2 linked regions of the Cricetulus griseus genome follow. Each later gene encodes a partner of the first gene's protein in a complex. Links are inferred from orthologs where the notes say so. Each region holds a gene or a part of one and is shown on either strand. Other genes may lie near its edges. The genes, in order: Csf1r and Csf1.

The links.
Region 2: the proteins of Csf1r (region 1) and Csf1 are in contact, whole or in part, in a crystal structure (PDB 3EJJ), measured with the Mus musculus proteins. The link is inferred for Cricetulus griseus from reciprocal best matches to the Homo sapiens genes CSF1R and CSF1. Residues at the interface, in NP_001032948.2 of Mus musculus: Arg142, Arg146, Leu149, Arg150, Lys151, Lys168, Val169, Leu170, Ser172, Asn173, Val231, Gly232, Phe233, Leu248, Ser250, Asp251, Phe252, Asp254, Asn255, Tyr257, Lys259; in NP_001107002.1 of Mus musculus: His38, His41, Met42, Gly44, Asn45, Gly46, His47, Phe87, Gln90, Asp91, Asp94, Arg98, Asp101, Glu110, Arg111, Gln113, Glu114, Leu115, Asn117.

Annotation. Positions count from the first base shown.
Region 1 is NC_048595.1:177,982,399-177,986,207, forward strand, and holds part of Csf1r (macrophage colony-stimulating factor 1 receptor), read right to left. Parts: intron 3,711-3,809; coding exon 3,520-3,710; intron 1,711-3,519; coding exon 1,595-1,710; intron 1-1,594. UniProt on the Homo sapiens protein: Tyrosine-protein kinase that acts as a cell-surface receptor for CSF1 and IL34 and plays an essential role in the regulation of survival, proliferation and differentiation of hematopoietic precursor cells, especially mononuclear phagocytes, such as macrophages and monocytes.
Region 2 is NW_023276806.1:49,411,073-49,414,881, forward strand, and holds part of Csf1 (macrophage colony-stimulating factor 1), read left to right. Parts: intron 1-279; coding exon 280-427; intron 428-1,590; coding exon 1,591-2,606; intron 2,607-3,226; coding exon 3,227-3,279; intron 3,280-3,592; coding exon 3,593-3,638; 3' UTR 3,639-3,651; intron 3,652-3,809. UniProt on the Homo sapiens protein: Cytokine that plays an essential role in the regulation of survival, proliferation and differentiation of hematopoietic precursor cells, especially mononuclear phagocytes, such as macrophages and monocytes.

The sequences.
Region 1 (3,809 bases):
TTTGGAGGCTGTCCTGGAACTAGCTCTTATAGACCAGGCTAGTCTAGAACTCATAGAGATCTGCCTGCCTCTGCCTCCCAAGTGCTGGGATTAAAGGCGTGCGCCACCAGCACCCGGCTGCTCATTTGTATCTTAACTTAAACATATGGTATTTGCTTTACCACAGAAATGTGTAATCTCGGGCTTTCAGCCTCATGGTCATCCAACTGGACCTAAGAGACACCCCTCTACCCAGTGCCAAAGAGACTTGGTTCACCAACGACAGCATCTTCACTCAGGAGGGGTAGAGAAGCTTTTCTGGTCAGGCATGAAGTGGCTCACAAAGAAGCTTCTTAATGACATCCTATCCAGGTATGGTTTTCCTGCATTGTTGGGGCCAGACAATGAACTAGCTTCCACCTCTCAGGTAAGTCAGGGAATAGCCACTGCACTGGGGTCAGATTGGAAATTATATTGCCCATATATACCCCAGAGTTCAGGACAGGTAGAAAGAATGAACAGAACTTTAAAAGAGACCTTAACTGGCCGGGCGTTGGTGGCACACGCATTTAATCCCAGCACTCGGGAGGCAGAGGCAAGTGTAGGAGCTCGAGGCTAGCCTGGTCTCCAGAGCGAGTGCCAGGATAATAGGCTCCAAAGCTTCACAGAGAAACCCTGTCTCGAAAAGCCAAAGAGAGAGAGAGAGAGAGAGAGAGAGAGAGAGAGAGAGAGAGAGAGAGAGAGAGAGAACTTAACTAAATTGACCTTAGAGACTGGCACAGACTGGGTGGCTCTCCTTCCCTTTGCCCTCTATAGGGTACAGAACTTTCCCTACCAGATAGACCTCACTCCCTTTGAGATCATGTTTGGGGTACCTCCTTCTATTATCTCCAACCTCCAATCTGAACTCTCGGCCGAACTGGACTGCCGAGACTTCTTCCAGTCTATCCACACCTTACAGCTGACTCACAAACAAGTATGGCTCTAGCTTGGGGCTATCTATGAAGCTGCTGCTTCCCCTGAACTCCACAGGTTCCACCCAGGAAACTGGGTCCTTGTAGGTAGAAACCAACACCACCAGACCCTGGAACTGAGATGGGAAAGGCCTTATGTAGGCCTGATGGCAACACCAACTGCCCTAAAGGTGAATGGCATTGTCACCTGGGTCCACTACCCCCCATGCCAGACTGGCAGATCCCTTTACCACCCCCAAGTACTACAAGGGGGACACCTGGGGAGTTGCCAGACATCCCACCAACCCTCTCAAGCTTCAACTGCAAAGGAAAGTGGCATCACGAACCCCAATTTATAGACAGAGAAAGGAGCTTCAACATACCCACTTTCCTGCCGTCTCTTCTGCAGAGCCAGGCAGAGCTAGGTACCTTTTAGGCACATCCTTATTTGTATACCTTCTCCTGCCCCCAACAGTAAAGCCCAAAATTACTGCACCAGGAGCTCCTTGGTGCTAGGCCATGTTGACACACAGTAGACACCTAATGAAGAGCTCTAGTTACAAGTCAGTCTATCAGAATGAGCTAGTATGAGCAGCAGTCACCAACATCTGGCTCCCTTGTGTGTGGGGGGGTCCCTGACCCAGCTCCAATGCCCAGCTCACCTGTTTGTACTTGTACAGGAGCAGCAGCAGCAGTAACAGCAGTAGAAACATGATAGACATACAGGCCACCACCACTGGAGTGAACAGGGACTCATCAGGGAGCTGCTCGACTCTTCCTGGAAGAGGGAGACAGAGGAATGAGCAGGTGGGGTGATGTGTACTCAGTCCCATCCCTCTGCCAGGGCATGAAAATTCTCTAGCAGATTGGCTCAGTGCCCAGCCACTGCTTGTACAAAACCCCAGTGGTGGGGCTTTATCATTTGCACCTGTGGGCAGAGAGGCCCGGGGGGGTGGAGGGTTTACCCACACCTTCCTCAGCTTTCCTGCAGCTTTCTTGTGTGGCCTTAGGAGCTCAGCAACTTACTGAGTCTGAGTACTAGCTAGTCTCCCCTTCCTGACCTCTAATCCTAGTTATGTTAATGTGGTATGAAGGACACAGTTCATTTCCATGTTCAGCCAAGAGCCCCTTAGTAGATGAGTGATATCAAAGTAGGCCTTCTCTAAACATTTCAGGTGTGTCATCCTTCCATACCTGGGCCAGGGATTTTTACAACCATGAAGGAGGGATTTTACTGCTAATGGGTGAGGGGTCATGGAGACGATGCCTGGTACAATGCTAGCATTCATCACAGTGGGGCTTCACTACTTAAAACTGCCACCACCATCAGTGACACAGCATTCACAGACAACAGGGGCAACAGGTCTGCCAACACCTGCTCCATGTTAGTGACTGGAGGACATAAGTGACATGATCCCTGAGCCAAGCAGAAGCCAAGAGCTTGCCCTGATCAGTCTGAATTGAGAGCTTCACCCAGACCCTGACACAGTAGGTACCAAATCCTAGCAGTTTAATGGCCTGGGGAGACTGTGGGCTTTTGCATGAGACTAGGCCCATATGCAGGCTCCATATCAGCACTTGGAAACCCCTTGAGGACTGTGTCTCAGGATCAGGCAGGGGCAGGAAACAAGGGGGATTTGGAGAGGGATAGAGGAAGCATCCCTTCTAGCTGTGGACTTGGGATAAGCTGTATTTCTTCATTCAACTCCTTTCTCCCTCATATAAGTTTGAATGCAGAGAGAAGCAGGGGCCAAAGACTAGTGGACTACCTTACTGGTCTCTCTCTCTGTATCACTCAGTCTCTCTTGGTCCTCTCAGTCTCTGTCTGGGTGTCTCTGTCTCATTCTTTTTTCCCACTCCCTGATCTTGCCCTTTCCACTTCAGTCCCCAGTGAGGGACTCTGAACCTCTCCATATAGCTATCCCTGGAGTTCTGTGGCTCAGGACTAGCCAGGGTGACCCAGAAGTGGCACTCGGCATGACTGAGACATCCTCCAAGTAGAAATTCCTGGGTTGGAGGTGAGGGGACTGTTATGTCCAGTTCATGGAACCCCAAAAAGACTACTACCATGGAGGCAACTCACCCAATGCAAAAGCAAAGGTTTCCTTTATTCAAGCCATGGCCTGGATCCCACTCACTCAGGAGCAAGTGGAATGTGGCTTATAGCTAAGGGGTGGGGGAGGGTTTAAGGGGATAGACCATAAGGCTGAAAGCTTCCGTGGTTACATAGGATAAAACAATAACTGTATGTTTAAGCAGGATACAACTGAATAGGATATTGTAAGGGGCATTGAGTTAATTATCTCCTGGGCCAGGGATTTTTACAACTGCGAATCTGGTTTTATTTAGGACAAAGAAATGTTGACACAGCTGGTGGTGTGTTATCTGGTCTTAGGCCTCTGGTCACATCCTCAGTCCTTTATTTAGCATTAATCTTTTGTGCTGCCTTAGGGAGCTCAAAAGAGCTTAGAAACTTTTTCTAGTATGGGCTCTATAGTCTAAGTTTTTAGACTTTTATTAATTTTTCCTATTTCAGGGACAGTCTCCAGATATCTGATGCCCATTCTGTCTGAGAAGGATGGATTACCTACAGAGGTGGCCCTGAAGGGCTGGGAGCTGTTCCCCACATTATTGTGGGCCCTGCAAACATAAGTCATGTTGTGCTTCAAGGTCCCAATGAGCAGCTGGCTCTGAATGGTCACTCTGTGGAAGGGCTCCTGACTCAGGACTTCAAAAGGGGCATCTCTCCAAACCTGCAAGGCCTGGGCCTCATCACACCTGGAAAGAACAGATTTTTGATTGAGGCCTTCCACATCAGCATGCCCCTCTCACTCACGGGTGCCCCACCCAGATGCTCAGCCTAGGGAGGGAAGCCAA
Region 2 (3,809 bases), on another chromosome or scaffold:
CTGCTGCACTAAGGAACAACTTCTCTTTCATTCATTGCATGATGCCCAGGTAAATTACCATACACTTGGCACTGAAATATGTGTTAGATGGATCTGTGAATAAACGATGTATCTCTCAACCTCAGGACTGATACTGCTGCAAAGCATAGGAGATGAGAGGGAGGAAAACAAAAGGGGGAAAGAAACCCCATGGGAGAAAGCACAAGAGAATTGGGCAGAGCAATAGTGAGAGAAGGCCCATGTCCGTGATTACTAAAAAGGGCTCTGCTCTTCTTCCAGGCCTGTGTGCGAACTTTCCATCAGACTCCCCTCGAGCTGCTGGAGAGAATCAAGAATGTCTTTAATGAAACAAAACATCTTCTTGAAAAGGACTGGAATATTTTTAGCAAGAACTGCAACAAAAGTTTTGCTAAGTGCTCCAGTCAAGGTAAGCATAGAAGCTACAGGGAGGGTGTATGTACAGTGAGATAAAGGGCTAGGGAAATCCCAAAGGCAGCCTGGCTGCTACGTGTGTTTCTGTGTGTTTTATGTACTCATGTGGCTTCATGTACCTCAGGGTCCTGGGCACATGTCTTTGCTGACATGTGTGTGCATGTACACTGACTTATGCCTGCATGTACTGTCTCACCGCCTTACTTGATGTGGCAGCATCAAGAAGGCTCATGCTGGTGGCTGTTATGGTAGCGAGAGGGAACGGGAACTTTCTCAGAGAACCATGTAGGCATGGTGGCTTCTCCACCTTGGCTCTGCAGACTGGCTGAATAAATGGGGATTCCGTGGAAAAAGCAGGTGCTCCATCTGGCAGTCAGGGTCCTTGCTCCAGGAGCCCTGCTGCAAAACACCAGGATACCTTGGCTCCAGAAGTCCCCCGGATGCCTTGGATGTCTCCTCAAGGGACAAGGCTGAATTTGAAGTCTGAACATCATTCAAACTCTCTCTACCTGTGCACTCTGCGTGTCCTCATCTCTGCGTCCTGTGCCACATGTATCCTGCATTCAGCCTCACTCCCCAAAGCAGGGGCTGAGCTCCTACAATGGGACAATACTCAAGTCCAGCCTTAGTGCTTCAATCCCAAAATCCCAAACTGTGGCTGCTTCCTAGCCTCAGCCTTCTCCATCCTGTGGCTGTGGCTGTGGCTGTGGCTGTGGTTGTTTGGCTCCTGGCTGTGCATGAAACCAGTGTCTTGGGGGCTTCCAAATGTCTTGTGTTACTCCAGGAGCTATTGCTCATTTCCCTGGCCTAGCTGCTGCTTACCCCTGGTTTGACATCCAGTCAGCTAGAGCCCCAGTAAACTGTCCTGTGGTCTTCCTCAAGCCCCCCTCTGTTTGTCTGTACCTTGCTTTTGGTTCCTTGTCCATGATACCCTGCTCTCTCCTTGTCCATATTACCCCCTTCTGCCTGAGTTCTGTGTCATGATCATTTATTGCTGTCCTGCCTTCTCCCCAGCCCCAGGGCTGGGTTAGAAGAGGGTCCCCCTTCCCAGGCCCCAGGGCCTTACCCCCTCTTATCCCTATGGGGGAGCTGTGCTAGAGGCTGGTGACTCTATCTCCTCCCCATCTTTCTCTCTCCCCTTCTCTGTGGTTCTTTCAGATGTGGTGACCAAGCCTGATTGCAACTGCCTGTACCCTAAAGCCACCCCTAGCAGTGACCTGGCCTCTACCTCCCCTCACAAGCCCCCTGCCCCCTCCATGGCCCCTCTGGCTGGCTTGGCTTGGGATGATTCTCAGAGGACAGAGGGCAACTCCCTCTTGCCCAGTGAGCAGCCCCTTCGCACAGAGGACCCAGGCAGTGCCAAGCAGCGACCACCGAGAAGCACCTGCCAGAGCCTCGAGTCACCAGAGATCCCAAACCATGAGGACAGACTCACTGAGGGTTCAGAGTCTCCTCCATCTTCAGAGGCTCCTATCCCTGGTGTGGAAGACATCCTTGAATCTTCACTGGGCACTAACTGGGTCCTAGAAGAAGCTTCTGGAGAGGCTAGTGAGGGTTTTTTGACCCAGGAAGCAAAGCTTTCCTCCTCCAAGCCTGTAGGGGACAGCATCCAGGCAGAGACTGACAGTTCCAGCAACTTCTCAGCATCTTCTCCACTCCATAAATCAACAGAAGACCAACAGCCAGCAGAAACAAGCACTCCATTGCCAGAGGTGAACGCTATGAGACCCACTAGCCAGATACAGAATCACACTCCTGAGAAGACAGATGGTTCATCTACACTGCCTGGAAACCACCAGGAGCCAGGCTCTCCCCACATTTCGACACTGGGTCCCCAAGGCCTCAGGAACCCAGCCACCCCTTTTGCTCAGTCACTGCTTCCGAGAAGCCACTCTTGGGGCATTGTGCTGCCCCTTGGGGAGTTTGAGGGCAAGAGAAGTACCAGGGATCGAAGGAGCCCCGCAGAGCTGGAAGGAGGACCAGCAAGTGAGGGGGCAGCCAGGCCTGTGGCCCATTTTAACTCCATTCCTTTGACTGACACAGGCAAGAAGGGGCAGCGTGGGGGACCCAATGACCCCCAGATCTCTGAGTTTGTCTTTCACCTGCTGGTGCCGGGCATCATCCTGGTCTTGCTGGCTGTTGGGGGCCTCCTGTTCTACAGGTGGAAGCGGAGGGTAAGGAAACCCCCCAGGAGAGGTGGATATCCTATGGGGCAGGTTGGAGGACAACTAGGTTGCAATAGGCTCTACAGTTGCTGGGAGGTAGGGATGACAACCCAGAGAGTAGAAGGTGGTGATGGAGTGTTGCTTCAAGAATCAGAAGGTACCAGGAGTGGTGATGACATGTGCCTTTGACCCAGAAATCCAGAGGCAGGCTCATCCCTGTGAGTTTAAGGCCATCCTGATCTACATAGTGAGTTCTAGTCCAGCCAGAGCTACATAGAGAGATCCTGTCTTATAAATAAATAAATAAATAAATAAATAAATATAACAAGAGGTCTCCAGCCGCAGATTATTTAGAAGGGATGAGAACAAAAAGCTATAGAAAAGGGAATTCTTGAACAACCAGCTAGTAAAGGGAAGGAAGAGGAGGGGAATGCTATTCTGGGAGCTTGAGGGAACATGGGTGGTGTTCTGCATGGAAGGGGACAGGAGAAGTAGCACCTATCTTCAAGAGGTCCAGGAGTCTCCCTCAGCTGTTCATGCTTTCGGGTAGCTAGAGGAATTCTTGTGACTCTCAGCAATGCTTGGGGGCATGCCAACACCTCATTAAGACAATTCTTTCTTGTCTCCAGATTCATCGAGAACCTCAGACATTGGATTCTTTTGTGGGGCGACCAGAGGACAGGTGAGAAGTTGCAGTGGGCTGTGGAAGGCACTGGATGTCTGTTTTGGGGCCTGTTTCCTCTCTACATTGGAGGAGGGTTTCTCTCCATTTCCCTAAGGAACTAGAGCGGCAGAGCAGGGTGGGTACAAAGAAAGGCCTCTCTTTTTTCCACAACAGCTGGGCTTTCCCCTGATTTCTTCCTAGACTTGGCCAGTTCTGGAACTTCTATATATCAGAGATAGAACCCATGTGTAGGGTTTGGGATAAGCTAGAAGATATCCTCAGTCCCATGCTCCTGCCAAAGTCTTATGTCAGCCCTGTGTTCTGCCTGCAGCCCCCTGACCCAGGATGAGGACAGACAGGTGGAACTGCCAGTATAGAAAGGAGTCCAAGGTAAGGCTCTGACTTTGATATCTCTCTAGCCCTTAAAAAGAACTATCTCCAGTTACCCTCCCCTGTTGCAGAAGCCACCAACTCCCAGGAGACCCACACATTTGACTTCCTCTCTTCTATCCCACTCCCATTTTCATTCATTCATCAACAGGTCTAGC